Linked DNA regions of Callithrix jacchus. The protein of the gene in region 1 interacts with the protein of each later gene in a pairwise test. Links are inferred from orthologs where the notes say so. Each region holds a gene or a part of one and is shown in the gene's direction. Other genes may lie near its edges. The genes, in order: TRIM69, NEK8, MAGEA4, IYD, SF3A3 and ASNS.

The links.
Region 2: the proteins of TRIM69 (region 1) and NEK8 interact in binary tests that used the Homo sapiens proteins (3 or more experiments, as listed by UniProt). The two-hybrid records come from large-scale screens. The link is inferred for Callithrix jacchus from reciprocal best matches to the Homo sapiens genes TRIM69 and NEK8.
Region 3: the proteins of TRIM69 (region 1) and MAGEA4 interact in binary tests that used the Homo sapiens proteins (3 or more experiments, as listed by UniProt). The two-hybrid records come from large-scale screens. The link is inferred for Callithrix jacchus from reciprocal best matches to the Homo sapiens genes TRIM69 and MAGEA4.
Region 4: the proteins of TRIM69 (region 1) and IYD interact in binary tests that used the Homo sapiens proteins (3 or more experiments, as listed by UniProt). The two-hybrid records come from large-scale screens. The link is inferred for Callithrix jacchus from reciprocal best matches to the Homo sapiens genes TRIM69 and IYD.
Region 5: the proteins of TRIM69 (region 1) and SF3A3 interact in binary tests that used the Homo sapiens proteins (3 or more experiments, as listed by UniProt). The two-hybrid records come from large-scale screens. The link is inferred for Callithrix jacchus from reciprocal best matches to the Homo sapiens genes TRIM69 and SF3A3.
Region 6: the proteins of TRIM69 (region 1) and ASNS interact in binary tests that used the Homo sapiens proteins (3 or more experiments, as listed by UniProt). The two-hybrid records come from large-scale screens. The link is inferred for Callithrix jacchus from reciprocal best matches to the Homo sapiens genes TRIM69 and ASNS.

What each region holds. Positions count from the first base shown.
Region 1 is NC_133509.1:32,468,124-32,472,642, forward strand, and holds part of TRIM69 (E3 ubiquitin-protein ligase TRIM69), read left to right. Parts: coding exon 1-58; intron 59-2,643; coding exon 2,644-2,877; intron 2,878-3,683; coding exon 3,684-3,706; intron 3,707-3,791; coding exon 3,792-3,916; intron 3,917-4,519.
Region 2 is NC_133506.1:104,869,981-104,874,499, reverse strand, and holds part of NEK8 (serine/threonine-protein kinase Nek8), read left to right. Parts: intron 1-438; coding exon 439-868; intron 869-950; coding exon 951-1,132; intron 1,133-1,230; coding exon 1,231-1,381; intron 1,382-1,801; coding exon 1,802-1,878; intron 1,879-2,218; coding exon 2,219-2,336; intron 2,337-4,355; coding exon 4,356-4,506; intron 4,507-4,519. UniProt on the Homo sapiens protein: Required for renal tubular integrity. May regulate local cytoskeletal structure in kidney tubule epithelial cells. May regulate ciliary biogenesis through targeting of proteins to the cilia.
Region 3 is NC_133524.1:148,211,584-148,216,562, forward strand, and holds the start of MAGEA4 (melanoma-associated antigen 4), read left to right. Parts: upstream 1-1,515; 5' UTR 1,516-2,562; coding exon 2,563-2,633; exon of another isoform or gene 2,634-4,249; intron 4,250-4,979. UniProt on the Homo sapiens protein: Regulates cell proliferation through the inhibition of cell cycle arrest at the G1 phase. Also negatively regulates p53-mediated apoptosis.
Region 4 is NC_133505.1:157,223,379-157,228,684, forward strand, and holds the start of IYD (iodotyrosine deiodinase 1), read left to right. Parts: upstream 1-2,075; 5' UTR 2,076-2,094; coding exon 2,095-2,272; intron 2,273-5,306. UniProt on the Homo sapiens protein: Catalyzes the dehalogenation of halotyrosines such as 3-bromo-L-tyrosine, 3-chloro-L-tyrosine, 3-iodo-L-tyrosine and 3,5-diiodo-L-tyrosine.
Region 5 is NC_133508.1:74,555,736-74,560,254, reverse strand, and holds part of SF3A3 (splicing factor 3A subunit 3), read left to right. Parts: intron 1-764; coding exon 765-837; intron 838-1,262; coding exon 1,263-1,354; intron 1,355-3,316; coding exon 3,317-3,399; intron 3,400-4,083; coding exon 4,084-4,222; intron 4,223-4,519. UniProt on the Homo sapiens protein: Component of the 17S U2 SnRNP complex of the spliceosome, a large ribonucleoprotein complex that removes introns from transcribed pre-mRNAs.
Region 6 is NC_133512.1:51,799,744-51,804,918, forward strand, and holds the start of ASNS (asparagine synthetase [glutamine-hydrolyzing]), read left to right. Parts: upstream 1-1,790; 5' UTR 1,791-1,936; intron 1,937-2,479; exon of another isoform or gene 2,480-2,818; intron 2,819-4,246; exon of another isoform or gene 4,247-4,282; intron 4,283-4,371; 5' UTR 4,372-4,407; intron 4,408-5,018; 5' UTR 5,019-5,041; coding exon 5,042-5,175.

The sequences.
Region 1 (4,519 bases):
TCTGAAGGAGCTTCAGTCCCTGAGGAAGAAGCAGATGGAAGCTATTGTTGCTTGCAAGGTGAGGAGCAAGATAGAGGGGTTATGAGAGAGAACTGGAACACACCCTCCATGTAACTTTAGAACTGGAATACACCCACCATGTACCCAAAAGGAATATGGTGGTGGAGTAGGTTCCTAATAGCTGCTCAACAGAGCAGATTAACCTTTCCCCTAATATGCTGATCTTTTTGATGGTTCATTTACCAGGTAACTGTTGTGGGGTTGAAATCTGTCTGGTTTTTGGGTTTATATATGGCAAAAGAAGGAATTTACCAGAAAAAAAATCACTAAAGATTGCTATGTCCAAAGAAATACCCTTCTTTCTTTTGAGTTTATAACCAGAAACCTCTAGACCTGTGTCTCTATGGTTGTAAGCTTTTTCCATCTGATTTGATCCTTCTTAGCTTCCTCCAAACTAAATAAAGCTATTGTCTGCACTTTCAACTTCATAGGCACTCTAAGACAACACTAATGGCTACAGATTTCGCAAATCAGCCCCTAAATTGGCAGTGCTAAATTGGAAGTTCTGTTTCTTTATTAATTATTCTATGGAGAAGAGCCTTTCAGGTATTTACCATCTGGAAGAAGAAATATGTAGAGTCAGGGAAAGAAGGAGGATATGTGGAAGTAATGATGTCTTTAGGGAATCTTGTTCCTGTTGTAAAAGTTCCTATTAGTGTCAACATTCATTCATTCATTCATTTAACAACTATTTATTGAGTGGGTCAAGCATAATACTAGAGACTGGGGTTGGGAGACAGATGTTAATCAAACTCATCAGTATAAATAAAATAACAACTGTGATAAGCACTATAATGAAAGCATAGGGTATGATGAGAGCATATAAATGGAGAACATAGTCTAGACTGACTTTTTTGTTTTCCAGGTAAAAATTATACTTTTAATCAATTGCGGTTCAAGTCAAATGTTCAGAATCATAACAGGCCAGAAAGGTTTGATCCCAAGCACAAGCCCACGAGGGAGGGGACCAACACAGACCGAAATGAGACAACAACCCCATATAAAAAGATGAATGTGGCTTTGCACACCCACACACAGACACACACACACGAGTGAAATGTCTGGACAGAGGCAAATTTCACTTGGTTGTTTCCGTTTCTTTTTAAATACAGGTTTGTGGAGTGGTATTTTGTTTTTTCCAGCTATTAAAAAAAAGGCCCAAAAGTGCATTGGAAAATAAGCAATAAAGCCATTTTCCCTGGAGGGACACGAGAGGGAGGAAACAGGAGGCCGTGCTGGGAGAAAGCAGTCTGTCACCATCGGGCTTCTGGTTATTCTTATGATTGGTCCACAAAAGTTCTCTGAAGAAGTCACTTACTAAAAATTGGGAATTGAATGATAAGTAACTTAGTGAAGTGAACTGGGTGAGTGAGAATATGAAGGAGGTGGCCTGGAGAAGAATGTTCTAGGAATAGAAAAGAGCATATGAAAAAGTCCTGAGACAGAAAGTTAGCTGCTATGTTAAATAGAGAAAAGGCCAATAAAGCTGGAACTTGCTAAGCAAGATGATATTGAAGAGGTGGATATGGGCTCACTGTAACTTCAAACTCTTGGGCTCAAGAGATCTTCCCACCTCAACCTTCTGAGTGTCTGGGACTAGTGTGCCATACCTGGCTAATTATTTTATTTTTGGAGAGATTGGGTCTCAGTATGTTGCCCAGTCTTGAACTCCTGTTCAAGCAATCCTCCTAGCTTGGCTTCCCAAAGTGCTGGAATTACAGGTGTGAGCCCAGCCAAGACTATCTTAAGGGTGCAATAATAATTATGGACCATGGAATCCAAGCTAGATAAGAGAAGACATGAAGGTAGAAGTTCCTGAATAGAAATGAAGGGGTTGGTGAACAGGAGGTTTCAATGAGATCCAATAATTGTTGAAATAGGGGTCTCTGAGTGAGCTTGGTGCATAAAAAGTTATTTTGGAGATGATGCAATTGCTGGGGGTGATAAAATCCTTTGTGAGACTACGGGAATGAATCAATAAAGGTGAAAATCACTAGAAATGAGGAGAATGAGGAACTGAGAAGCCAGGACACCAAATGGTTTACCTGTGAGGATGTTGAGGTCACTCAAGAAAAAAGCTATAAGTGTACCAGTTATCAATTTCGGCACTTCAGAAACATCTGAAGTGCTTCTTTTATATTGTCCTTGTAGCAGGAGTGGCATTCCCCCAGTTCTGATTTCTAGGTAAGGATAGTTCTTCCAGACTCCCAATGACCCCAGTCTAATAGTACCACTTGGCAGCTAATGGTTTACCAATCTAGGAGACTGTTATCATCCATTCTAGAATGTTCGATGAACTTCACAGCCCTATTTAATATGGCCCTGGTTACCATCTCATTATTGCAATAGGAACCTAGAGGCTACTTTTGACTATTTCACCCTGAACTATTAAATTAGTTGGAAAAGGAGTAAGTCTCCCAAAGGACTCATTTTAATGTGGTTGAATTTGATTATCAGTAGACAGTTGTATGCATTTTTTCTGTAATGGTTTTTCCCAAGTGTGTGAGTGTTGGTGGTGTGGGTTCCCCATCCCCAAGCACTAGTCTCTATAATAACCATGGTAATAATCATGGAGGTTTCCAGGAAAACGAGCTATATCTGCAGCAACATGTGTCCACGGAGTTTCTAAAGCTGCATAAGTTCCTAGACAGCAAAGAAGAGAATATTTTAACTGAACTCCAGGAAGAGGGGAAAGCCTTAAATGAGGAGATGGAGCTGAATCTGAGCCACCTTCAGAAGCAATGTGTCCTAGCCAAGGATATGTTGGTGAGCATTCAGGCAAAGATGGAAGAACAGAACTCCTTCGACTTTCTCAAAGTGAGAATCTATACCAATATGATTATGGGTACCTTCCTACCTAGATGGGGGAAGAGGTTTGGAAAGAATGCAGAAGTGGCTTTTCCCAGTAAGGGAAAACAAAAGGAAACAAAATTGCTATAGTGCTTCTAAGATTCTCTGGAAGAAAAGCAGGAAGGCACTTCAGCTATATGCACAGCAAAAGCTTTACTTTTATCCTCTAGGAAATAAGATTTTAAAATCCCATTAATAATAGTATATATTAATAGTTTAATATTTTTCCATCAAGAGCCTGACACTTTATTTCTGAAAAATAAAAATGTTGCAGCATGAATTGTATCTCTGGCTCTCAGTAATCATAAGTTGACTGGTCTGAAAAGCTGTTTTGTATCCTTTGCTTTCTTTTTTTTTTTTTTTTATCCTTTGCTTTCTTAAGCTTCACCTCTAAAGCGACATTGGTTACCATCTCAGCATTCAGAAGTTTAATTAGCTACAGTAAGGAAAAGTGGCCTTGGGACTGGAATACTTACTGTGTTTTTCCTCTGAGACTATTTGAAAGTATAGGTAAAGATAGCTTAACCTTAAGTGTTGTACTATTGGCTTCTGTCTTGCTCCCTGTAGAGGGAACTCTAGAAAAGCAAAAGACCAGTTTAACCTGGGTTAGGATCAGGGATGAAGATTAGAAAAAGTGTGTGAAGAATAAGAAGCTGGGAGAGATGATAAGTTGGGGACCATCTGCACAAATCCTGGTGGTGGCTAGTATTACCAAAGGAAGTTTGGGAGCTGATGAACAGGCATCTGATGTCTCTCTTTCTCCTTTCTTCTAGGACATTGTACCTCTCTTAGATAGGTAAGTGCTTTCCTATGGTACTCTCAATATCCTTCCTTGAGTCTCTGGAGGATGTCTAAGGATAAATGATTTATGTCCCCTGCAGCTTGAAGCAAGGAATGAGCGTGCTGGCAACAAGAGAGCTTATTTCCAGAAATCTGAACCCGGGCCAGTACAAAGGTCCTATCCAGTACATGGTATGGAGGGAAATGCACGACACTCTCTCTCCAGGTATCAGTGGGTAGTAACTGTTGGTTCTTGGGGCTCCTAATCTATGTTTAATCTGTGGGATCTTTTCTGTGGCCCTAATTAGGTTTTTACAGTCTGTGATAGTGGAGGGGTAGAGTTTGGACAAAAGGAGACTAGTTGGTATGACTGAATTTCTTCTAGTGTCATGACCTAAGAATTTATGATTTTGTGCTGATTAACAGATAAGAGTTTGATATCAGGATTGCTTCTTAGCCTATGATTTTGTTTGACTGTTTTATGAAATATGGCAACAGACAAAATTTTATGTTGCTTTGCTAAATCAGCTATATGGATCCCTGGGGTTTCTCTGCTCTGAAGAAGGAGGTTTCTTACATGCTCTTTGTATGTACACTGGGTCTTTATAGTTTCTTTTGTGCTTGATTATTGCAAAGAGCATTTTAGAAGACTGTTTAGATTTTCAGTGCTTCAGAAGAAAACCAATAATTTCAATAAATGTACCTAAAAAGGACACTAAGTTTTTGTGTTCCTGCAGATACCAAAGGACTGAGCAAGACAAAATAATACACATGGCATTTCAAGATAAAGTTCTAAATAAAAATCTTTATATAAATAAAATTCTAAATA
Region 2 (4,519 bases), on another chromosome or scaffold:
ACTGGGAAATCTACCACTTCCCCAGCAGCCCTCGCTCCCGCCACCTGGGGTTTCTCCTCTGGCTGGTTATGTTTCTCCCTTTTCAGATTACCCCAGGGAAGAGCTATGGCTATGCCTCAGACTATGGATTTCTAAGAGTAGGTCTTGCCTCCCATTAGACTGAGGGCTCCTGAGGGCAGGGCTGTGGCTCTCCCAAGGGACCCTCCCAAGAGTAAGACTTGAGTTTTCCCAGCATCCTGGGGCTTCTGAGACATAGCTGTAGCTCCCCTGTCAGACTAGGGGTCACTGAAAGCCAGGTTGGACTCCCCTAGCGGTCTGGGAATCACCTCATCAGACTGAAGTCTCCTGAGGGCAAAGCTGTTATCCCAGGAGACCAGGGGTTGGGGCTGGGGGGCGCTGCCCTCACTTCACCAACTTCCCAACCTGGTGCCCTCACAGAACCTGCCAGCCCTGGTGCTGAAGATCATGAGCGGCACCTTTGCACCCATCTCTGACCGGTACAGCCCCGAGCTGCGCCAGCTGGTCCTGAGTCTACTCAGCCTGGAGCCTGCCCAGCGGCCCCCACTCAGCCACATCATGGCACAGCCCCTCTGCATTCGTGCCCTCCTCAACCTCCACACCGACGTGGGCAGTGTCCGCATGCGGAGGCCTGTGCAGGGAGAGCAAGCGATCCTGGGCAGCAGGGTGTGGGCACCCAATGGGAGCACAGGAGGCCTGGGGCAGAGGGGCACCTGGGTGAGTCCTCCCTCCCTGCAGGTAGGAATGTCAGGAGAGTCTTTGTTCTTAGGCCCCCGTCTGTCCCGCAGGGTGGAGAAGTCTGTGACCCCTGGCAGCACAGGGAGCAGGACCACCAGTGTCCGCTGCAGAGGTAAGTGGGAAGAAGCCGTCAGTCCCCATAGATGGCACACCATTCACATCAGTTTAATAGTCCCCATGCACTGTACCCACAGGTGTCCCCCGGGGACCTGTGAGGCCAGCCATCCCACCACCACTGTCGTCAGTGTACACCTGGGGTGGTGGGCTGGGCACCCCCCTGCGGCTGCCAATGCTCAACACAGAGGTGGTCCAGGTGGCAGCTGGGCGTACGCAGAAAGCTGGCATCACACGCTCTGGGCGTCTCATCCTGTGGGAGGTGAGCAGGCCAGTGGGGAGGTGGCCTGGACAGGTGGAAGTGTAGGTCCACAGAAGGGTTGGGGTGCTCAGGCACTGCCCATCCTCCCGCCCCTGTAGGCCCCACCCCTAGGTGCAGGCGGAGGCACCCTCCTTCCTGGGGCAGTGGAGCAGCCACAGCCCCAGTTCATCTCGCGCTTCCTGGAGGGCCAGTCAGGCGTGACCATCAAGCACGTGGCCTGCGGGGACTTCTTCACCGCCTGCCTGACGGGTGAGACTTGGGCCTACCTCGGGGTGGGGACCTTCTATAAGGCCCCACAGAGCACTGTCTCTCTTCTCTTGCAAACCATTTACTTAACGAATGCTTTCACTAGTCATCAAGCTATTGCTTCTTTCTAGTAAGTGTTGAGGAGATTTCCTTACACTACCTCCTTGATCCTATGGACAGGCCTGCCAAAACAGTTATAGTATCCTCATTTGACAAGTGGGGACATTAAGGCTCAGAGAGGGTGTCACTTGTCCAAAGTCATATACATTTGAAGAGACTCCTATCCTTCCTCTCTTCCTATCCCATCTTTCCAGCCCTGGTCCCCAACTTTATTTTGTTGCTGCAACCCCCTGGTGGACAGGGCTATCTGGAATGACTGCTTAACTTCTCTTCCTTCTCCTTCCTCACGGCCCTCCTCCCCAGACCGAGGCATCATCATGACCTTTGGCAGTGGCAGCAATGGGTGCCTAGGCCATGGCAGCCTCACTGACATCAGCCAGGTGGGTATCACATGTACCCTGGGGAGGGGGAAGTTAGGGGATGGCAGGGAGCCCACATCTGAGAGCTGACACCAGATTGGGGACAGGGGAGTTCCCAGCAGCCACAGGTTCCTCTAGCTTCCCGGCTGCACCTGCTCTACGCCGCCTACATCAGGGGAAGTACAGAAAGACCAGGCTGCCCCAGTGGTTGCCCACTTGGCAGTGCGTGTGGCTAGAGTTAAAGACACAGCCACCTCCGGAGAATGCGCAGCCTCCAGCTTTGTCCCTACAGGGGGTGTTGAGGCCAGATGGTTAGTCTAGACCCTTTGCCCAGTCTCTCCTTACTTCCTCTCCTCTTTAGCCCACCATTGTGGAGGCCTTGCTTGGCTATGAGATGGTGCAGGTGGCCTGTGGGGCCTCTCACGTGCTGGCCTTGTCCACTGAGCGAGAACTATTTGCGTGGGGCCGTGGAGATGGGGGTAAGCTCCAGCCTCTAGTCTCATCTCACAGTATCCTCAGCCATGACTTGTTCCCCTTCATACTTCCATCCCACAGCCCATTATCTCCTCCCTCTTTTCTCTCAAATTCTCTTCATTCATTCAGCAAATCTTTATTTTACACCAACTATGTGCACACCCTGTGCTAGTGATGAGATGAGATGCATATGTGGCTTCCTTCAGGTGTTTATGATGTAATGAAGGAAATTTCATTCATCTACCTTTTTTTTTTTTTTTTTTTGAGACAGAATCTCACTTCTTCGCCCAGGCTGGAGCACAGTAGCACAATCTCGGCTCACTGCAACCTCTGCCACCTGGGTTCAAGCGATTCTCTGCCTCAGCCTCCCGAGTAGCTGGGATTATAAGTGCCTGTGGGCCGGGCACGGTGGCTCACGCCTATAATCCCAGCACTTTGGGAGGCTGAGGCGGGTGGATCACGAGGTTAAGAAATCGAGACCATCCTGGTCAACATGGTGAAACCCCGTCTCTACTAAAAATACAAAAATTAGCTGGCATGGTGGCGTGCGCCTGTAATCCCAGCTACTCGGGAGGCTGAGGCAGGAGAACTGCTTGAACCCAGGAGGCGGAGGTTGTGGTAAGCCGAGATCGCGCCATTGCACTCCAGCCTGGGTAACAAGAGCGAAACTCCATCTCAAAAAAAAAAAAAAAAAAACTATAGGTGCCTGTGACCACGCCCGACTAATTTTTGTATTTTTAGTAGAGACAGGGTTTCACCATCTTGGCCAGACTGGTCTCAAACTCCTGGCCTCATGATCCACCCACCTTGGCCTCCCAAAGTGCTGAGATTACAGGTGTGAGCCACTGTGCCCAGCCATCTACCTATCTTTATTTATTTATTTATTTATTTAATATAAAGACGGGGTTTCACCATGTTGGTCAGGCTGGTCTTGAACTCCCGAACTCAGGTGATCTGCCAGCCTTGGCCTCCAAAATGCTTGGATTACAGGCGTGAGCCACCACACCCAGCCATACCGATTTTTATTGAGGTCCCTTTGGGTCAGGCATCAGGGTGGGCACTGAAACTAGAGATGACATTGATGGGTTCCTGTCTTCCTGGAGGACTCAGTCTAGTTGGGGAAAGATGACGTCTCCAGCATGCCAGAGAACAGATAGCATCAGGGCTACATACCAGGTGCAGAGGTGTGGAACTCAGTGAACAGTGATGTCAACTGGAGGAGAGAGATGGCACCTGAACAGGGCTTTAAAGGAGGATTTTGGCCAGGTGCTGTGGCTGACACCTATAATCCCAGCACTTTGGGAGGCTGAGGCAGGCAGATCACCTGAGGTCAAGAGTTCAAGTCCAGCCTGGCCAACATGGAGAAACCTTGTCTCTACTAAAAATATAAAAAATTAGCCAGGCATTGTGGTGGATGTCTGTAATCTCAGCTACTCAGGAGGCTGAGGCAGGAGAATCACTTGAACCCAGGAGCTGGAGGTTGCAGCGAGCTGAGATCTTGCCATTGCACTCCAGCCTGGGTGACAGTGAGACTCGGTCTCAAAAAATAAAAATAAAGAACAGGCTGGGCGTGGTGCTCACACCTTTAATCTCAGCACTTTAGGAGTCTGAGGCAGGCAGATCATGAGGTCATGAGATCTAGACCATCCTGGCCAACATGGTGAAACCCCATCTCTATTAAAAATAAAAAATAATTAGCTGGGCATGGTGGCGCATGCCTGTAATCCCAGCTGCTCTGGAGGCCGAGGCAGGAGAATCACTTGAACCAAGGAGTTGGAGGTTGTAGTAAGCTGAGATCATACCATTGCACTCCAGCTTGGCAACAGAGTGAGACTGTCTCAAAATAAAGAAGGAAGGAATAAAAAATAAAGGAGGATTTCAACCAGCAGAAAGTCCTAGGAAAGGCATCTTGGGCTGAGAGAACAGAAAACTCACGCCGTTCCCTCCCCTCAGTGGGCCCTCCTCATCCTGGCATCACCCCCTGCTAAAGCTCAAATTAACCCCTTCTGGGCTTCTTCTTACAGGGAGACTGGGACTAGGCACCAGGGAGTCCCACAGCTGCCCCCAGCAGGTGCCCATGCCCCTGGGACAGGAAGCTCAGCGAGTTGTATGTGGCATCGACTCCTCCATGATCCTCACTGTGCCTGGCCAAGCCCTGGCCTGTGGAAGCAACAGGTGACTAGGTCAT
Region 3 (4,979 bases), on another chromosome or scaffold:
GGATTGACGGAGAGAGGCGGGCAACGCTCTGTTAGGAGGTAAGGTGAGACGTAGAGGGAGGACGCAGGAGGTCCCCTTCCCCGGTAGACGACTCCAAATAATCTCTTACCACTCCGGCTGCCAGCCCTCGGCCACCCGTGGGTGGACTGCTTAGTGGGGGAGGGGCACCACCCCTACTGCCGTTGAAGCCACAGGGGACTCGGGACTCAAAGAACTTGGCGTGGTCAATGCAAGACTGGTGGGGTAGGCTGTGCCAGGAATTAACGTGGGGATCCCAGGAGAGGGCTCTGAGTCCCCCATTCCCATCCCCTTTCTCCAACCCATTCTTATTCCCATCCACCCTCCCATCCCGCACCAATACCCCCATTCTCTCAAGCTCCTACCAACCTCATAAACCCATTCCGCCACCCCAATACCCCCACCCCCAACCACGCCGGATCCGGTTCCACCCAGTCACGCCCAGATGTGACGCCACTGACTTGCGCATGGGCGGCGGGTTAGAGAGAAGCGCGGTTCTTGGTCTGACCAGCAGCTCGGGATTGGGGGAGGCAAGCGGGCAAGGCACTGTTAGGAGGAATGCTGAGACGCTGAGGGAGGACTCAGGAGCTCCCCACGCGAGATAGATGACGCCAAATAATCCATTACAACTCTGCTGCCAGCTCTGGGCCACCCGTGGCTGGACTTCTGAGTGGGGGATGGGCACCACGGCCACTGTGGTTGGAGTCACAGGGGTCTCGGGACTCAAAGGGCTTGGCGTAGTCAGTGCAAGATTGGTGGGGATAGGCTCTGCCATGAATTAACTGCAGGATCCCAGGAGAGGGCTCTGAGTCCCCCATTCCGTCTCCATTCCCCAACCCATTTTTATTCCCATCCACCCTCCCATCCCGCACCAGTAACCCCATTCTCTCCAGCCCCTACCAACGTCATAATCCCATTCCCCCACCCGCAACCACGCAGCATCCGGTTCCACCCAGGTGCCCGGATGTGACGCCACTGACTTGCGCATGGAGGGTGGATTAGAGAGAAGCGTGGTTCTTGGTCCGACCAGCAGCTCGGGGTTGACGGAGAGAAGCGGGCAAGGCGCTGTTAGGAAGCAAGGCGAGACGCTGAGGGAGGACTCAGTAGCTCCCCACCTTAGATAGAGGACCCCAAATAATCCCTTACCACTCCTGCTGGCTGCCCTGGGCCACCCGTGGGTGGACTTCTGTGTGGGGGAGGGGACCAGTCAGAGTGCCGTTTAAGCCACAGGGGACTCGGGACTCAAAGGGTTTGGCGTGGTCAATGCAAGACTGGTGGGGGTAGGCTCGGCCAGGAATTAACTTCAGGATCTTAGGAGAGGGCTCCGAGTCCCCCATTCTGTCCCCATTCCCCAACCCATTCTTATTCCCATCCACCCTCCCATCCCGCACCAGTACCCCCATTCTCTCCAGCCCCTACTAACCTCATAATCCCATTTCTCCCACCCCCAACCACGCAGCATCCGGTTCCACCCAGGTGCCCGGATGTGACGCCACTGACTTGCGCATGGGGGGTGGATTAGAGAGAAGCGTGGTTCTTGGTCCGACCAGCAGCTCGGGGTTGACGGAGAGAAGCAGGTAAGGCTCTGTTAAGAAGCAAGGCGAGACGCTGAGGGAGGACTCAGTAGCTCCCCACCTTAGATAGAGGACCCCAAATAATCCCTTACCACTCCTGCTGGCTGCCCTGGGCCACCCGTGGGTGGACTTCTGCGTGGGGGAGGGGACCAGTCAGAGTGCCGTTTAAGCCACAGGGGACTCGGGACTCAAAGGGTTTGGCTTGGTCAATGCAAGACTGGTGGGGGTAGGCTCGGCCAGGAATTAACTTCAGGATCTTAGGAGAGGGCTCCGAGTCCCCCATTCTGTCCCCATTCCCCAACCCATTCTTATTCCCATCCACCCTCCCATCCCGCACCAGTACCCCCATTCTCTCCAGCCCCTACTAACCTCATAATCCCATTCCCCCACCCCCAACCACGCAGCATCCGGTTCCACCCAGGTGCCCGGATGTGACGCCACTGACTTGCGCATGGGGGGTGGATTAGAGAGAAGCGTGGTTCTTGGTCCGACCAGCAGCTCGGGGTTGACGGAGAGAAGCGGGTAAGGCTCTGTTAAGAAGCAAGGCGAGACGCTGAGGGAGGACTCAGTAGCTCCCCACCTTAGATAGAGGACCCCAAATAATCCCTTACCACTCCTGCTGGCTGCCCTGGGCCACCCGTGGGTGGACTTCTGCGTGGGGGAGGGGACCAGTCAGAGTGCCGTTTAAGCCACAGGGGACTCGGGACTCAAAGGGTTTGGCTTGGTCAATGCAAGACTGGTGGGGGTAGGCTCGGCCAGGAATTAACTTCAGGATCTTAGGAGAGGGCTCCGAGTCCCCCATTCTGTCCCCATTCCCCAACCCATTCTTATTCCCATCCACCCTCCCATCCCGCACCAGTACCCCCATTCTCTCCAGCCCCTACTAACCTCATAATCCCATTCCCCCACCCCCAACCACGCAGCATCCGGTTCCACCCAGGTGCCCGGATGTGACGCCACTGACTTGCGCATGGGGGGTGGATTAGAGAGAAGCGTGGTTCTTGGTCCGACCAGCAGCTCGGGGTTGACGGAGAGAAGCGGGTAAGGCTCTGTTAAGAAGCAAGGCGAGACGCTGAGGGAGGACTCAGTAGCTCCCCACCTTAGATAGAGGACCCCAAATAATCCCTTACCACTCCTGCTGGCTGCCCTGGGCCACCCGTGGGTGGACTTCTGCGTGGGGGAGGGGACCAGTCAGAGTGCCGTTTAAGCCACAGGGGACTCGGGACTCAAAGGGTTTGGCGTGGTCAATGCAAGACTGGTGGGGGTAGGCTCGGCCAGGAATTAACTTCAGGATCTTAGGAGAGGGCTCCGAGTCCCCCATTCTGTCCCCATTCCCCAACCCATTCTTATTCCCATCCACTCTCCCATCCCGCACCAGTACCCCCATTCTCTCCAGCCCCTACCAACGTCATAATCCCATTCCCCCACCCCCAACCACGCAGCATCCGGTTCCAGCCAGTCACACCCAGGTGCCCGGATGTGACGCCACTGACTTGCGCGTGGGGGGCGGGTTAGAGAGAAGCGCGGTTCTAGGTCAGACCAGCAGCTCGGGATTGACGGAGGGAAGCGGGCAAGGCTCTGTTAGGAGGTAAGTTGAGACGCTGAGGGAGGAAGCAGGAGGTCCCCTCCCCAGATAGAGGACCCCAAGTAATACATTAGCACTATTGCTGCCAGCTCTGGGCCACCGTGGGTGGACTTCTGAGTGGGGGAGGGGCACCACCCCCATTGAAGCCACAGGGGACTCGGGACTCAAAGAGCTTGGCATGGTAAATGCAAGACTGGTGGGGGTAGTCTTTGCCAGGAATCAACGTGGGGATCCGAGGAGAGAGCTCAGAGTCCCACATCCGTCCCCATCCCCCAACCCATTCTTATTCCTATCCACCTTCCCATCCCGCACCAGTACCCTTATCCTCTCCAGCCCCTACCAACCTCATAATCCCAATCCCCCACCCCCAACCACGCAGCATCCGGTTCCACCCAGTCACACCCAGGTGCCCGGATGTGACGTCACTGACTTGCGCGTGGGGGGCGGGTTAGAGAGAAGCGCGGTTCTTGGTCTCACCAGCAGCTTGGGATTGGGGGAGGGAAGCGGGCAAGGCTCTGTTAGGAGGCAAGGTGAGACGCTGAGGGAGGGACGCAAGAGGTTCCCGTTCCAGATAGACGACCCCAAATAATCCATTAGCACTCCCTCTGCCAGCTCTGGGCTACCTGTGGGTGGACTTCTGAGTGGGGAGGGGCACCAACCCCACTGCCGTTTAACCCACAGGGGACTCGGGAGTCAGTGTTTGGGTTGGTCAATGCAAGACCGGTGGGGGTAGGCTCTGCCAGGAATTAACGTGGGGATCCCAGGAGAGGGTTGAGCCTCCCCCATTTCCAACCGCATCCACAGCCCATTCTTATTCCCATCCACCCTCCCATTCCCCACCAGTACCCATATTCTCTTCAGCCCCTACCAACCTCATAATTCCAATTCCCCAACCCAACACAGACGCCCATCCACGCAGCATCCAGTTTCACCCCGTCACACCCAAGTGCCCGGATGTGATGCTACGGGCTTGCACACGGAGCGGGGGTGTTAGAGAGAAGCGCGGTTCTTGGTATGACCAGCAGCTTGAGATTGGCAGAGAGAAGCTGGCAAAGTTCTGTTAGGAGGCAAGGTGAGATGCTGAGGGAGGACTCAGGAGGTCCTTACCCCAGATTGATGACCCCAAATTGTCCCGTACGATTCCTGCTGCCACTCCTGGGCCACCCATGGGTGGACTTCTGTGTGGGGGAGGGGCACCACCCCCACTGCGGTTTAAGCCACAGGGAACTCGGGAGTCAGAGTTTGAGCTGGTGAGTGCAAGACTGGTGGGGGTAGGCTCTGCCAGGAATCAACGTGGGGATCCCAGGAGAGGGCTCAGAGTCCCACATCCGTCCCCATCTCCCAACCCATTCTTATTCCCATCCACCCTCCCATTTCCCACCATTACCCCTATTCTCTCCAGCCCCTACCAACCTCATAATCTCATACCCCCAGCCCCATCCACGCAGCGTTTGGTTTCACCCAGTCACTCCCAGGTGCCCGGATGTGATGCTACTGACTTGTGCATGGGGCGGGGGTGTTAGAGAGAAGCCCGGGTTCTTGGTAGGACCAGCAGTTTGGGATTGATGGAGCGAAGCGGGCAGGGCTGTTACGAGGCAAGGTGAGATGCTGAGGGAGGACTCAGGAGGTCCCCACCCCAGATAGATGACCCCAAATAATCCCTTACCACTCCTGCTGCCAGCCCTGGGCCACCAGTGGGTGGACTTCTGAGTAGGGGAGGGGCACCACCCCCACTGCCGTTTAAGCCACAAGGAACTTGGGAGTCAGAGTTTGGGGTGGTCAATGCAAGACTGGTGGGGGTA
Region 4 (5,306 bases), on another chromosome or scaffold:
GAGTGGTTTCTTTATTCTGTGTTTTTAGTGGGATGTAAAGAGAAGCTGGGCCCCAACACAGGCTCTGCCATCTTCAGCTGCCTGGCGTTAGGCGTGGGGTTGGATCACATGGACTGGACATGTTCCCTCTGCTATCCTTTCAGCAGGCACAGGGGAGGGCACTTTTCCTGTACAAAAGTTGTCAGCATGGCAGGCAGCACCATCAAATCAATGGTCTGTGGAGCCTGATGCTTCCATAACAAACTTTACTTCTAATCTTTTACAGAGTTCTCTGGCATTAGAGAACCAGTATGACATACATTTTAAAAAACAGCTGTCTATCACGAAAAGGAGTATTACAATGCATAATAAAACAAAACCATCAAAATGACTGTTGAAATAAATAACATATATTCATTTATAAAAATAGCTAATATATTTACAACAGCTCAAAATTCTGAAATTATGGAATAGTATTCAGTAGAAATTCTCTCACTCTTGTCCCCCATCTATCCAGTTTCCACACTCGCTCCAAAACAAGTAACCACTGTTCTTGTAACCCTTTATTTTGAAATAATATAGACTCACAAGAAATTGAAAAATTAATAAAGAGAATTCCTGATATAACAACTCTTTAAAGTTTAGAGTATACTCTTCCAGGAAATGTTATACATATACAGGCTTGTATAAATGTGTCATATTTTCTACTTTTTTTATTCAAATGGCATCGTATTATACATACTTTTGTACTTTGATGCTAAAGACTGAATGTGTTTAATAAAAATTGATATGTTGGAGCCCTAACCCCCAGTATAATGGTATTGGAGGTTGGGCCTTTGGGAGGTGAACAGGTGATGAGAGTGGAGCCCTTATTAATGAGATGAGTGGCCTTATAAGAAACGAGAAGAGAGAGATGATCTGTCTCCACTCTCCACCATGTGAGGTTACAGTAAGAAGGTACCTGTCGGCAGACCAGAAGGAGAGCCCTCACCAGGAGCTAATTTTCCAGCACCTTGATTCTGGACTTCTCAATTTACAGAACTATGATAAATTTATTTATTTATTTATTTATTTATTCTTTCTTTCTTTCTCTCTCTCTCTTTCTTTATTTCTTTCTTTTTTCATTCCTTCCTTCCCTCCTTCCTTCCTTCCTTCCTTTTTTGTTTCTGAGGGAGTTTTGCTCTTGTCACCCAGGCTGGAGTACAGTGACACAATCTTGATTCATTGCAACCTTTGCCTCCCAGGTTCAAGCTGTTCTCCTGCCTTAGCCTCCTGAGTAGCTGAAATTACAGGTGCCTGCTACCATGCCTGGCTAATTTTTGTATTTTTAGTAGAGAAGGGGTTTCAACAGGTTGGCCAGGCTGGTCTCCAATTCCTGACTCAAGTGATCTGCCCCCTTCTGCCTCCCGAAGTGCTAGGATTACAGACATGAGCCACCATGCCAGGCCAAGAAATAAACTTCTGTTGTTTAAGCCACCAGATCCACAGTATGTTTGTTACTTCAGCCGTAATTGACTAAGGCATTTACTAAAACAGACAAACAAACAAACAAAAAGCCTTACTGAAGTTATTATATAAATAATGAAGTTGTCACTTTAATTTTTTTGTGTCACATTTCCTAGATCAAAGCTTTTCTCTGCTGCAAAACATGATATTCTCCTTATTTCATATATTGGCTCACGTATCATTTAAAAAAAATCAAAACCCTAGGGCTGCGTTTCACAAACATGCTATTTAAAATGAATTTTACCAAACCTCTTTTTTGAACATTTTCTTCCAGCAGATCTGATTTGGTGGCGTGATCCAGCTAGATCTGGCATGTGCAAGTTCTTACTCAGATTCTGGCATTGCTGCCTAAGAAGATGGTGCTTGAGTATGTAATTTTAAAAAGTGAATGCCCTGGTGCATGACCAAAGCCACAACACCCCACACATGGGACTGTGATCTTTGTTCCTTGGCAAAGTCCTCATAGAGTTAAAGAGTTCTGCACTTTGTTCCTTCCCTGGCACAGCTCTCTCTGCATTCCTTCCATCTCCCGGCATTCTCTGTTTCTATCTCTGTGTGTTTAAAAACCAGTGTGGGAAGTGTGCACCCCTGTGCATCAGACTCCGAACCATGTTTTTCTTGACTCCCGTCTTGGTAGCCATTCTCTGCATTTTGGTTGTGTGGATCTTTAAAAATGCTAATAGAAGCATGGAGAAAAAGAAGGGGGAGGCTACAACCAGGGCCGAGGCTCGCCCCTGGGTGGATGAAGACTTAAAAGACAGCACTGACCTGCACCAAGCAGAAGAAGGTAAAGACACTGGCTATGCTGCTTAGCTTTGCTGTCATGTGTGTTGCTGATGAGTGTGAGTCAACGGCAGGGCTTATGGAGAGGAAGAAACACAGACCAGCTTCAGCATCAACTTCTAGTGTGCTAATGAATCAGTGCCTGGCACAGACAGATCATCTCGCGCCAGTAATGAGCTTGTCACCTGCTGGCACCAACCTTTTTTTATTTTGGATGCTCAGTGAAAAAGCTGTTGAGAAGCTGAAATTTTCCCTGGCTCCAATTCTGTTCTGGTTGTTAAAACCTTCCTGCAGGGATTCATCCCAGGCTGGTAGTGGGCAGGGGGCAAAGTGACCGGGTTTTGATCAGAAACTGAAATCTACCAAGTGGCATCACCTAGGAGGCTGCTACCTTTCCCTTGCCAGACCCTGGAAGTGAAAGACTGGGGTGGTCTCTGTTCTCAACAAACTGAATGTCCAATTCAGCTGCCACGATGATGCATGAGAATCAGAGACAGTAACAAAGAGACAGACCCGGTGGAACTAATTCTGAGGTGTTTGGAGCAGGCCTGGGAATTTGATGGTGCAGTCAGGGAAAGGACAAACCGGGTTGGGAACAAACAGCAAGTGCTGAGAGGCCTGTCAGGCAACAAGGGGCAAAAGGAGCAAAAGCAGCGGGAGGCCTGGAACGGGGATAAGAGAGGAAGTGGAGAACCAAGGGCAGGGGGAGGGTAAGAACGGAAGTAGTGAACTGAGGGCAAGAGCTACCTGCCTCCTTCATCAAGAGTTAATGAAGGAGGCTGGTAGTAAGGGAGAGACTGTGGAGGAGGATGAAGGAGGCAGGTAGTAAGGGAGAGACTATGGAGGAGGCTTGAGCCATCTGTGTCTGAGAAGCTTTGTCTGGGATGGGTTCAATTTGGAAGAGCCTCCATGATCCTCAGCTGGGCGAATGATGTCCCCATTCCCAAACAGAGGCCACCTGGACATGTGTGTGTGAATGTATGTGTGAGTGTTCATGAATGTGCATGTGTGTCTGTCCATAAGAGTGTGTATGCTTGAGTGTATGTGTGTGTGTGTGCATGCATGTGCATTTGAGTGTTCATGAATGTGCGTGTGTGTGTGCACAACTGTATGTGTGTGCAAGTGTGAGTATGTGAGTGGGAATGTGAGTGTGCATGTGTGTGTGAGCATGCATGAGTGTGTGTGAGCATGAGTGTGTGAGTGTGTGTCCTAATCTCAGGACTGGGACAAAGGGTGTCCAGCTGGTCCTCAGTGCTAGGATCCTGTAGGGCTGAATGCACCTCTTAGAGGTCCAGCCTCTCAGCAGGGCTCCTCTTATTCTCTGGAATTGAAAGCTCTTCCACTCAGAATGCCAATTCGGCCCAGTGAAGAAGCACTTTCCTTAATCAAGGGGACATGTGTTGTGAAGCTGGGTAATGGTTTGTGCTGGGAAGGATGGCCCGGATGTGGGGGCAGTGGGAATGCAGTGGAAGGGATGGATCAGAGTGAAGTTAATGGAAGAGCAGCAGGGTTTGCTAATAGGTTGGATGGTGGGAAAAGGAGGAGAGTGGGAGAGTTGGAGGCTGGGATGGTGTCATAAGTGGGTGGGAGAATGAGGATCCTGCTTAAAGAGGAAAATGTTGAGTTCCATTGAGGACATGTTTGATTTGAGATGACAGTGACACATCTGAGCAGAAAAGGGAGAGAGCAGCCTAGGTTAGGGGCCCAGGCCACAGACACTGATTGGAGAGTCAGCAGTATGGGGAAGAGACTTGGAACCTGGAGAACTAATGAATTCACAAAGTGGGCATTGCTAGAGAGAAGGGTGGGAATAGAACTTAGGGGACACCTGCAGTTAAGAGGAACTGTGGAAGAGAAATGTACTAGAGAAAGGAAGAAGCTGTGGGAAACGGGGCTCTGGGATTGTAACAATAACACGCCCTTATGTATATTAATAGCACTTACTTATGTATATTAATGAGAGCCACATTTTATGTGCAGTCAATCATTTCATCTTCATGACAGAGCAACGAGGTAGGCACTATTAGAATCCCCATATTATAGATAAGGAAACTGAGGCCCGAATAGGGTAAGCCCAGGCAGGTGATTGCAGAAACGGGACCCAAGCAGTCTGGCTTCAGGGTCCAGACACGTAGCTGTTTGCTGGCTGCCTCTCCCCTGGGAGAATGACCTAGAATGGAGGAGGCAGGAGACAGCCAGCAGGGGAAAACATTCTCTCAGAGCCTAGCAAGAGTGTGCATTGAGGAAAGGCCACTAGATTTGAATACCTATGAGGTTTGAGGACACAAGAGCTTGGGCAGTCTGTTGAGGGTCAGGTCCTGGGGCTGGACCTGGAGGCTGAGAACATAGAGCAGGATTAAAGGGCCTTTCTCTGGTTCTCTGCGTGATTACTAACTTCTGCAAAATGTGTTGCCTCTTCATTCTCTGTTCCTTTTCATCCTTATCCTTCTCTCTCTCTCTCTCTTTGTTTCTTTTTCTTTTCTTTTTTTTTTTTTTTTTTGAGACAGAGTCTTCCTCTGTCACCCAGGCTGGAGTGCAGTGGAGTGATCTCGGCTCACTGCAACCTCTGCCTCCTGGGTTCAAGCAATTCTCCTGCCTCAGCCTCTCAAATAGCTGGGACTGCAGGCACATGCCACCCACCTGGCTAATTTTTTTTTGTATTTTAGTAGAGATGGGGTTTCACCATGTTGCCTAGCTGGTCGTGAATTCCTGAGCTCAGGCAATTTGCTGGCCTCAGCTTCCCAAATTCCTGGGATTACATCATGCCAGCCTCATTCTTCTCTTCTCTTTATACAGAAGAATGAATGGGACAGCCTTAGTGTCTTCTTTAGCAGCTGGGGCAAAGTCTGGCCTGTGTGTGTCATCCACAGATCTCTTGTATGGGGAATCTAATAGTGCCTACCTTGTTGTATCGTTTTGAAGATGAAATGATTTACTCCACCTCTCTTACATTGTTTACATAAGTAGTGCATGCTAAGGTCACACAGGTGACTGGTGAGAACCAGTGCTTAAACGCAGGCTTTCAGGCCCCCAAGCCC
Region 5 (4,519 bases), on another chromosome or scaffold:
CAAGGTAATTGAAGAACTACTGTTCTGGGTAGACTCTTAGTGAAAAATCAAGGCCATATATAGCATCAGAAGTCCAACTTTCTGTGTACTTCATTTCTGTGATCTTGTAACTTTTACATTGAAAATTCTACCTGAGGCTGGGCGTGGTGGCTCATGCCTGTAATCTCAGCACTTCGGGAGGCTGAGACAGGCAGATCACTGGAGCTTAGGAGTTTGAGACCAGCCTGGGCAACATGGCAAAAACCTGTCTCTACTAAAAATATAAGAATTAGTCAGGTGTGGTGGAGTGCCTGTAATCTCAGCTACTTGGGTGGCTGAGGCAGGAGAATCGCTTGAACCCAGGAGATGGAGGCTGCAGTAAGCCAAGATTGTGCCACTGCACTCCAGCCTGGGCAACAGAGCGAGAGTCCATCTCAAAAAACAAAAAAAATGAGGGCCGGGCGCGGTGGCTCACGCCTGTAATCCCAGCACTTTGGGAGGCTGAGGCGGGTGGATCATGAGGTTGATACCATCCTGGTCAACATGGAGAAACCCCGTCTCTACTAAAAATACAAAAAATTAGCTGGGCATGGTGGCAGGGGCCTGTAATCCCAGCTACTCAGGAGGCTGAGGCAGGAGAATTGCCTGAACCCAGGAGGTGGAGGTTGCGGTGAGCCAAGATCATGCCATTGCACTCCAGCCTGGGTAACGAGTGAAACTCTGTGTCAAAAAAAAAAAAAGAGAAAGAAAGAAAAATCCACCTGAGCTTTCACTTTTCCCTTCAGATCTGTGTGCCAATGTCAGTGGAATTTGAAGAGCTCCTGAAGGCTCGAGAGAATCCAAGTGAAGAGGCACAAAGTGAGTAGAGGTGAACATTTCATTCAACACCAGCAGCAGTTACAGGTCATGCAGCCATGGCCTCAGATATTGATAACCAGGTTTTCTTGTTGGTTTTGTCTTTGCTGCTTTCTGGGCTAGAGTGACATTCTAAATTGGTCTTGGGCAAAATGTTTCTTTTGTTCTCTCCTACCTAAAATTTACTGGCTTGGAAAGCCAAGCATTATTCACTTTAGTTCACAATACTAAAATGAGTCAGCCCATGTTACCTTGTAAGAGAACACTCACTTTTGATCTCACTTATTGGAGGTTATATTGTGAGCACAGGGAGGATATTTGGGTGACATGCTGCCTCAAGAAACTAGGAACAAGCAGTCCATTTGAAAAGGTAAGTTCAAGAGAGTGGTCTGTAGAATCTGAATCATTGATGTATTTGATTCCCTCAGACTTGGTGGAGTTCACAGATGAAGAGGGATATGGTCGTTACCTTGATCTCCATGATTGTTACCTCAAGTACATTAACCTGAAGGCATCTGAGGTAAGACCTGGGAGAGGAGAGAGAGATTCTGATTCTAGAGGTAAGTCAGGACACTAGGCTGGGACTGCTAGACGTGAAGCCATTGTAGAGTGTCTTGTGTTTTCAAACTGTTATGTAAATAATATCAAAGAGGTGATAATGAAATACTATTCAAAATGAAAATTTTCTACAGTGAAAACATTTATTAATAAATTTTATTTTTATTTTATTTTTTTTGAGATGGAGTTTCGCTCTTGTTACCCAGGCTTGAGTACAATGGCGCGATCTCGGCTCACCGCACCCTCAGCCTCCTGGGTTCAAGCAATTCTCCCGCCTCAGCCTCCTGAGTAGCTGGGATTACAGGCACGTGCTACCATGCCCAGCTAATTTTTTGATTTTTAGTAGAGACGGGGTTTCATCATGTTGACCAGGATGGTCTCGATCTCTTGACCTAGTGATCCACCTGCCTTGGCCTCCCAAAGTGCTGGGATTACAGGCTTGAGCCACCACGCCCGGCCAATAAATAGTATTTTTTTATTTTGAGATGGGGTCTTACCATGTTGTCCAGTCTGTAATGCAATGGTGTGATCTTTGCTCACTGCAACCTCCACTTCTGGGCTCAGCCTTCTGAGTAATTGAGACTGAGACTACCACCACACTTGGCTAGGTTTTTTTTTTTTTTTTTTTTTTTTGTAAAGATGGGGTTTTGCAGTGTTGCCCAGTCTGGTCTCAAACTCCTCACCTCAAGTGATTCTCCTTTTTCGGCCTCCCACAGTGTTGGAATTACAGGCATGAGCCATTGTGCCCAGCCCATTATCAATACAACAAGTTTTGTTTTTTTTTTTTTTGAGATAGGGTTTGTTTGTTTTTCTTTCTTTTTTTTTTTTTTTTTTTTTTTCTGAGACAGAGTTTCCCTCTGTCACCAGGCGCCAGGCTGGAGTGCAGTGGCGCAGTCAATCTTGGCTCACTGCAACCTTCGCCTGGGTTCAAGTGATTTTTCCGCCTCAGCCTCCCGAGTAGCTGGGACCACAGGTGCGTGCCACCACGCCCGGCTAATTTTTTGTATTTTTAGTAGAGACGGGGTTTCACCATGGCCAGGATGGTCTCGATCTCTTGACCTTGTGATTCGCCCACCTTGGCCTCCCAAAGTGCTGGGATTACAGGCGTGAGCCACTGTGCCTGGCCTAAAATTCTTATTTTTAAAAATAATTATCACGTTCCTGTTTTAGGTACGTGGAAGATAAAACAACTTGATCTTTCTGTCAGCAAAAAGCTATTTAATGTCTTTTCTTAAAGATGTTTAAACATAGCTTATCACATTAATGTCTTTTCTTAAAGATGTTTAAACATAGCTTATCACAAGAGATGAGGTTTAATATGACAATATCAGAAGAGTCACCAGGAAATACATGATTAGATTCTTCATGGAGTTGTGAGGAAATGTCCCAGAAGTACAGTGCCCAAACTTGAAGTTCCATGGGGGCAGGTCAGGTCCCTTGTCTGTTTTGTTGTCTTCTATACCCTGTACTTGGTACAAAGATGCTCAATAAGTGGTTACGTGTGTGAGTAAATGGCAACTTTCAGGACCTTACTTTAGGATATTAGAGTCTTTAACCAAGAGCCCAGCATGAGGTAATGATCAACAAATGTTTCCTTTAGTTTACTGTTTATTAATGTGATCTTTATTTTGTAAAGTTAATTATGTCTGATATTTGCCTGATATGTTTATTTTGTAAAGTTAGTTATGTCTGATATATTCCTACTTTATTTTGTAAAGTTAATTATGTCTGATATTTTACGGTCCAGTGAAATTAACACTCCAAATTGTAGTAGGATTGAATTATGGGAAAGCAAAAAAACCAAAATGGCCAGCCCTTGTTACCTTGTTAGAAAACACTCAATTTTGATCTCACTTAGGAGGTTATAACTTGTTCCAGTATAAATACCTAACTAAATTTTGTATCATTTCTTTCCTCTTTTCAGAAGCTGGATTATATCACATACCTGTCCATTTTTGACCAATTATTTGACATTCCTAAAGAAAGGAAGAATGCAGAATATAAGAGGTAGGTGTTAAGAGCTTCTATGCCTCTCCTGGATTTGATTAGAAGACAGTGTGAAGGTTTTGAGGGTGAAGTTACGAATTAGTTGCTTGGAAGGCATACATGAAGGCGTACTTCCTTCATACATGAAGGTTTATTGGAGGCTAAGGATTATAAATGATGTGGTTTTAAAACCTTCGAGATACTCTGGTTGTGGGCAAGGGTGTATCTGTGGACATATCTTCTATCTTATGCCCATACTGTTCTTAATTTTGTCTCACTGTAGAAGGAACTCTCCCACTCTGGGACTTCTGTGTTTTTGGAGTTTAATGGGAAAAAAATTAGACTTTCTCAGATTGTGACTGGAGTGAGATGCTTGGGTATGATGTATAAGTGAAAAATGTATGTTTTTGTTAGTTGCTCCCCTTATTAGTGATTTTATACCCTTTCTCTCTTTTTCTTATTTTCATTTTCCTGAAATATTTTCTGTGCGAGATTAGCATTATTTCATGAGAATAAAAGGAGGTAGGAAAGGTCAGAATCAAAATGATATGTCAAGAAAAAAGTCCGTTATAGGTTCATTTAAAAATGATTATTAAAAAATACTATTACTAGAATTATAAGTACTATTTATTCTACAGGGAATATAACAAGATACCAAAAATATAAACCCTTTTTGCTTTCTCTTTGTTACGTGTTCCTCTGTAGATACCTAGAGATGCTGCTTGAGTACCTTCAGGATTACACGGATAGAGTGAAGCCTCTCCAAGATCAGAATGAACTTTTTGGGAAGATTCAGGCTGAGTTTGAGAAGAAATGGGAGAATGGGACCTTTCCTGGATGGCCGGTGAGCTACAGTGGGGTGTGAATGGTGGACATGCCAGGGAATTGAACTGATTATTTTCCTTTATCTTGAGCTTCCACTTTAGGGCATTAGGTATCAATTCCTTGGTATCATTTGTGACCATGAGGTATTCCCTGCCGAGTATGCTAGGTTTTTCTGTGTGTACTTTGGAGCAAGATTATCAGGGCCCACTTGCCTTGGACTGTGCCCAGATTTTCGCCAATCATATCATTACTGCCATGTGGTTTCTGCTTACCAAAAGCTTATTCAATCATATGTTAGGAATCTGTATTCTTGCTT
Region 6 (5,175 bases), on another chromosome or scaffold:
ACACTTTTAAAATTTAATTTGTGTGTGTGTGTATGTGTGTTAGACCAGAGATTGGGGGGTGGGTCTCACTATGTTTCCCAGGCTGGTCTTGAACTGCTAGCCTCAAGCCACCCTCTTGCCTTAGCCTCCCAAAGTGCTGGATTTATAGGCATGAACCACTGCACCCAGCCTCACTTTTTGTTTTAGCAGATCCTACAGTGAGAAAGGAAGTAGCATTGTGATAGCGTAGCTAGATAGGGAGCAGTTCCGGAATGTGAAGAAAGGAGGTGTGGGAAGGGTCAGTCCACAGAAGCTGTGGCCTTCAGGAGAAAAGCTTTGAGGTCAGGGAGCCAGGTGGGTAAATGAGACTACTCCATCCCTTTTGTATCTCCTTGAAATGTCTTTTTTTGGCCACTCTCCCTGAAAGAGGAGGGCAAGGGAGCGAGGACAGAAAGTGAGGTAGAGAAGAGTGGTGCTCTGGAGGGACAAGCAGGAGATACGCAGCACAACGAACCACACTAGATAACACATCAAGTAGGGGAACCTGTCTTCCACTACACAGGCTACGTGCTATGGGACATGGGCTCTGGGTTTACACAGATTATGGCTCAGTTCTTTGCTGTTGTGAAGCTGTGTTTGGATAAATCCCTCAGCTTCTCTGAGTCTTATTTTTTCATTTGTAAAATGTAGACAGAAGACCTACTTTCCCTCATTGCTTTCAGGTTAAAAATGCATCAATTAGGATACAGCAAAGTCTGTTTGATGCTGAAAACTTTCCAGCAAGAATGAACCTGAGAACAAGTCATCGCTCATCTTTGCTCTTGCCTGTAACTGCTAAGCATCTACTCCATCTTCAGTGCTTAGGGATTTTATATTGTTGGCATTTTTGATTTAGTCAGGAATGCATTGTATGGGAATATCAAACCTGCATGCTTTCCACACATTGACTGTAGTCTGATCTTAGTAGGTGGTGCACATATAATTTTACTATTTCTCAATTTATTTTGGTGCTGATGTAATTAGTAAAATGCGATTTAAGAGTGTTATATATATTTTTAATCATGATGTCTTTTCATAAAAGTGATACTTAAAAGCACATCATCGTCTTGTGGAGGCACGTTGACAAAATTCTTTTTTGAGATTCTACAAGGAATCTTTGTACTTAAAATGTTTAAGAACCACTGATATATTTTGGCTTCACGTATCAATTAGATTTAGATTTTATTTTGTTTTAGAGATGGGGGTCCCACTTTGTTGCCCAGGCTGGAGTACAGCTCACCACAGCCTCAAGCTCTCCGTCTACCTCAGCCTCCTGAGTTGCTGGGACTACAAGGGTGTGCCACCATTTTTTGTAGAGATGTGATCTCACTGTGTTTCCTAGGCTAGCCTTGAACTCCTGGTTTCAAGTGATCCTCTTGTCTTGGCCTCCCAAAGTGTTAGGGTTACAGGCGTGAGCCATTTCGCCTGGCCCTCCGATTTATTAATAGATTTTATAAGGACATTTTAGGCCTTACCCATCAGTTTCTTAGGGCAAGCTTTTCTCTGCAATTCATAATAAATCAGACGGTAGTGCAACGGAAAACGGAGATGATTTCCCTAGAACAAACCATGTGCAGAAGACTCCCTGGTGGTTAGAACAGCAGGTAACCTGGGCAGATCTCTGAAGCTATCCTTAAACTGACGCACCGGAAACAAAAGAACTCCTCCTGGAGCATTCTCGCCGTCCTGGCTTAGTCCGCACCCGCCCGGCAGCCCCGTGGGCCCCGCCCCTGCGCGCGCTGGTTGGTTCTCGCCGGCTGATGAAATTTCCCATACGCATTACAGGAGCCAGACCAGTATAAGCGCCGGTAGCTCCTCCGCCCGGCACGCCATACCCCGCCCGGCACGCCGTCCGCAGACCTGGCGTCCGCAGACCTGGCGTCCGCAGCCCGCATCGCCCTGACCCGCTTGCGCCCAGGTGAGACGGGGCCCCGCGCCCCGCGCAGCACCCTCCTCGGGGGCTCTGGGGCTGCCCTGGGGGAGGAGGATGCGCTCTGTCGCCTGGCACCCGGCGGACGGACGCGCTTCGGGTCGGCTGATGCTGCGTCTCTGGCAGTAGAGAGGGTGGGGTGGACGCCTAGCGATTGTTGCGCACCTAGCGGCAAGCCGGTGCAGAAGAACCTCTGTGTCTTGATCCCTGAGGCATCAAGGGAACCGCGGCCGGAAGACTGGGCCGCTCCGTAGAGGGAGCGGCGACCTGAGCCCCTGTAGATGTTATATGTGTACTTTTTTTTTTTTTTTTTTTTTTTTTTTTTACTATGTGGCATTGAAGCCCGTGGACATTTTCCCGGTCCAGGACCGCTGCGGAAGAGCGGGTTGGAGCCTCCATGTGGCCGGGGCGCAGTCGCGTGTGCGTGGTTCTGATCTAGGAAGGAGAAACTGTGCTTTCCCTTTCAACTGCCCTGCTCCTCACCTGGCCTCCCTCACCATGCCTCCTCCCCTCTCACCCCATCTCCCCTCCAGTCACCACGCCTCTGTAGACTGCAAGACTTGACAAGTGACTTGCTGAGCAAACTCGGCCGAGAGGCAGTCTGTTTAGGGACACAGAAGGCCAAGTACAGAAAAAGGCAAAAGGACTAGCATGCCTGTTTCAATGGATGTCTATTTTACAGGGCTGACTTCAGGTTATTGTTAAAGCTTTAAATAAAAGGACAGTTTTCATCTCGGCCTGTGGCCTACATTATTTCTTTACTGTCCATTACTCTGGGCGCTTGGCTGATAATTTAACAGCAGTGTTTTTTTTTCTTTTTTCGTTTTTTGTAAATCGTGATTCATCGCATTACTGAAAGAGTAATTAGAGGTAAAGTAGGGCTTGAACCTTTCTATAGTTGGTTGCTTACTGAGATCTTAACATAAAAGTAAGTTGAGAGGGTGAAGTTTTAAGTAGCACTAAGTGGAATAGAAATGAAATGTACTGAAACTGCAGTGTCCAATTCGGTAGGCGCTAGCCACCTGTAACTGTTGAGCACATGAAATGCTGGCTGGTCCGAACTGAGATGTGTTGTGTTAAATACAATGGATTTTGTCGTTGGAGTAGGAAGAACAGTGTAAAATAGCTCGATAAGTTTTTATATTGATTACATGTTAAAGTGATACTATTTGGGATATATTAAGTATGTTTAAAATTAATTTCACCTTTTTCTTTTAATGGGGCTACTAGTATATTTAAAATTACATATGTGGCTCACATAATTATTGGATAGCACTGCTCTAGAAGTTTACGAAGAAAAAAGAAAAATATTGAGAACAGGTAGCAGCAGCAGTAGGAACTTTGCCCTCCTCTAAGACTGATTCCAATAAAAAATAAGTTATAGTTTTAATTGGCTTTTTCCCACTAGAAAAAAATAAGTGTACTTTACATGCCTCTTTGTTCTCCCCCTTTCCCCTCCAATTAGTGGTTAGCAGGCTTAATATTCACAAGCAGTGTATTCTGTGATGACCACTTTTGATTTTCAAAGCGCTTTCCTAACCCATTTTTAATTGGTATATAGTCAAAGGCAGATGACTTATTAGTAGTCATCCCATTTAAATCTCGTGGAGTTTTCCCACTAAATCTGAAAGTAAAGAATTTGTTATAGGCTATTTGGTCAAGTGCATGGAAGGGACAGTGTAGGATGTGTGGCATTTCATTTCCAAATTGCTTGAGATGATTTTCATTATAACCATGTATTATTTGGTTCTGGTTTTCTGGAAAAGCCAGCCAAACCTTTGGTTCATTTAGATAAAAATGAAATATCCTCAAAGTGACTTACGTAATTTGAATATGTATTTTTTCCTTAGGGTGCCTATCCCAAATTATCTGGGCATTTACTGCTATTTGCAGTTTTTAAAAAGAAAATATCAAAATTGTTATTTTTTTTAAGTTAGAGATGTTTTAATAAAAATGGCCATTTTGAGCTGGTAGTAGTCAAATAAAACAGCCCTTTATTTCACAGTTGAGAATTTGAAATTGGAAAATAATTAATGTATGTAAGGGTGATTTATTTGCTTCCTGGCTTATAGGGAAGAGCCAAGTTTTTTTTTAGGGCTGTTGCTGCTGTATATGTCCTATCTACTTTGTTTCCTTACTGAACATTAAACTTTGAGACAGAAATATTTGAGGACATTTTTTTCTGTTAGGATATTTTGATAGCAAACATTTTGTATCTTCTGTCAACCTAAAATGTTTTACTTGTTATAAAGCCAGGATATCTGATATCAAATTAAATTCCTTTTATTTCCCCTTTAGACTTTCTTCAATAACATCTGGATACATCATTTAGAGGTAAACTAGATATAATATAGTGAAATGCTTAAAAGAGCTGTGCATCTTAGTATTACAGATAGTAATCTGTAGTTTTTTTTTTCCTTTAGACTTTCTTCGGTAACATCTGAATACATCATTTAGAGGTAAGCTAGGTGTAATATACTGAAATGCTTAAAAGAGCTGTGCATCTTAATATTACAGATAGTAATCCTAGTATTACAGCAGTATGATTTTCTGTTCTACTCATTGTATTCTACCTGCAGCTACTTCAAGTAAAGAGAGGGTATTTAACTGTCAAGGGAACCTGAGAGGAGACTCTAGTAATCTGAAAGTCTCTTGGATCTTTGAGGGATTTTGGGATGGAGAGAGTGGGGCTGGGATCTCTGGCTAGGTAGGAGCCAGCCTGCATTTGTTTCTGTATCTTGGAAGCAAACTTCGATTGCAGAAATAGATGTGGCCTGGATGTTGCTAGCTCTAGCCAACCACTAAGGTGGGAGAGATGCAGGCTTTGGCTGGGTGCTAAGCTGCTGTAGCTGGTTGGATATAGAGGTCACTATCTTTTCTGAATACTTGTAGGTAAATTCAATCATTCTCTACTCCCATGGGCCTGTCAACCTAATGGGAAATAGCAATAGAAAAGGTGGTTTACATTTTAGTCTTTGAAGTGGTTTATACACGTTTCTGGAATCAAGATTTAATGCAGACTTGGATTGGATATTGAATATTTTTGATTTGTCTGCTTTTCTCTCCATAGAGAGCTTATAGTTTCATTGCACCATGTGTGGCATTTGGGCCCTGTTTGGCAGTGATGACTGCCTTTCTGTTCAGTGTCTGAGTGCCATGAAGATTGCACACAGGGGTCCAGATGCATTTCGTTTTGAGAATGTCAGTGGATACACCAACTGCTGCTT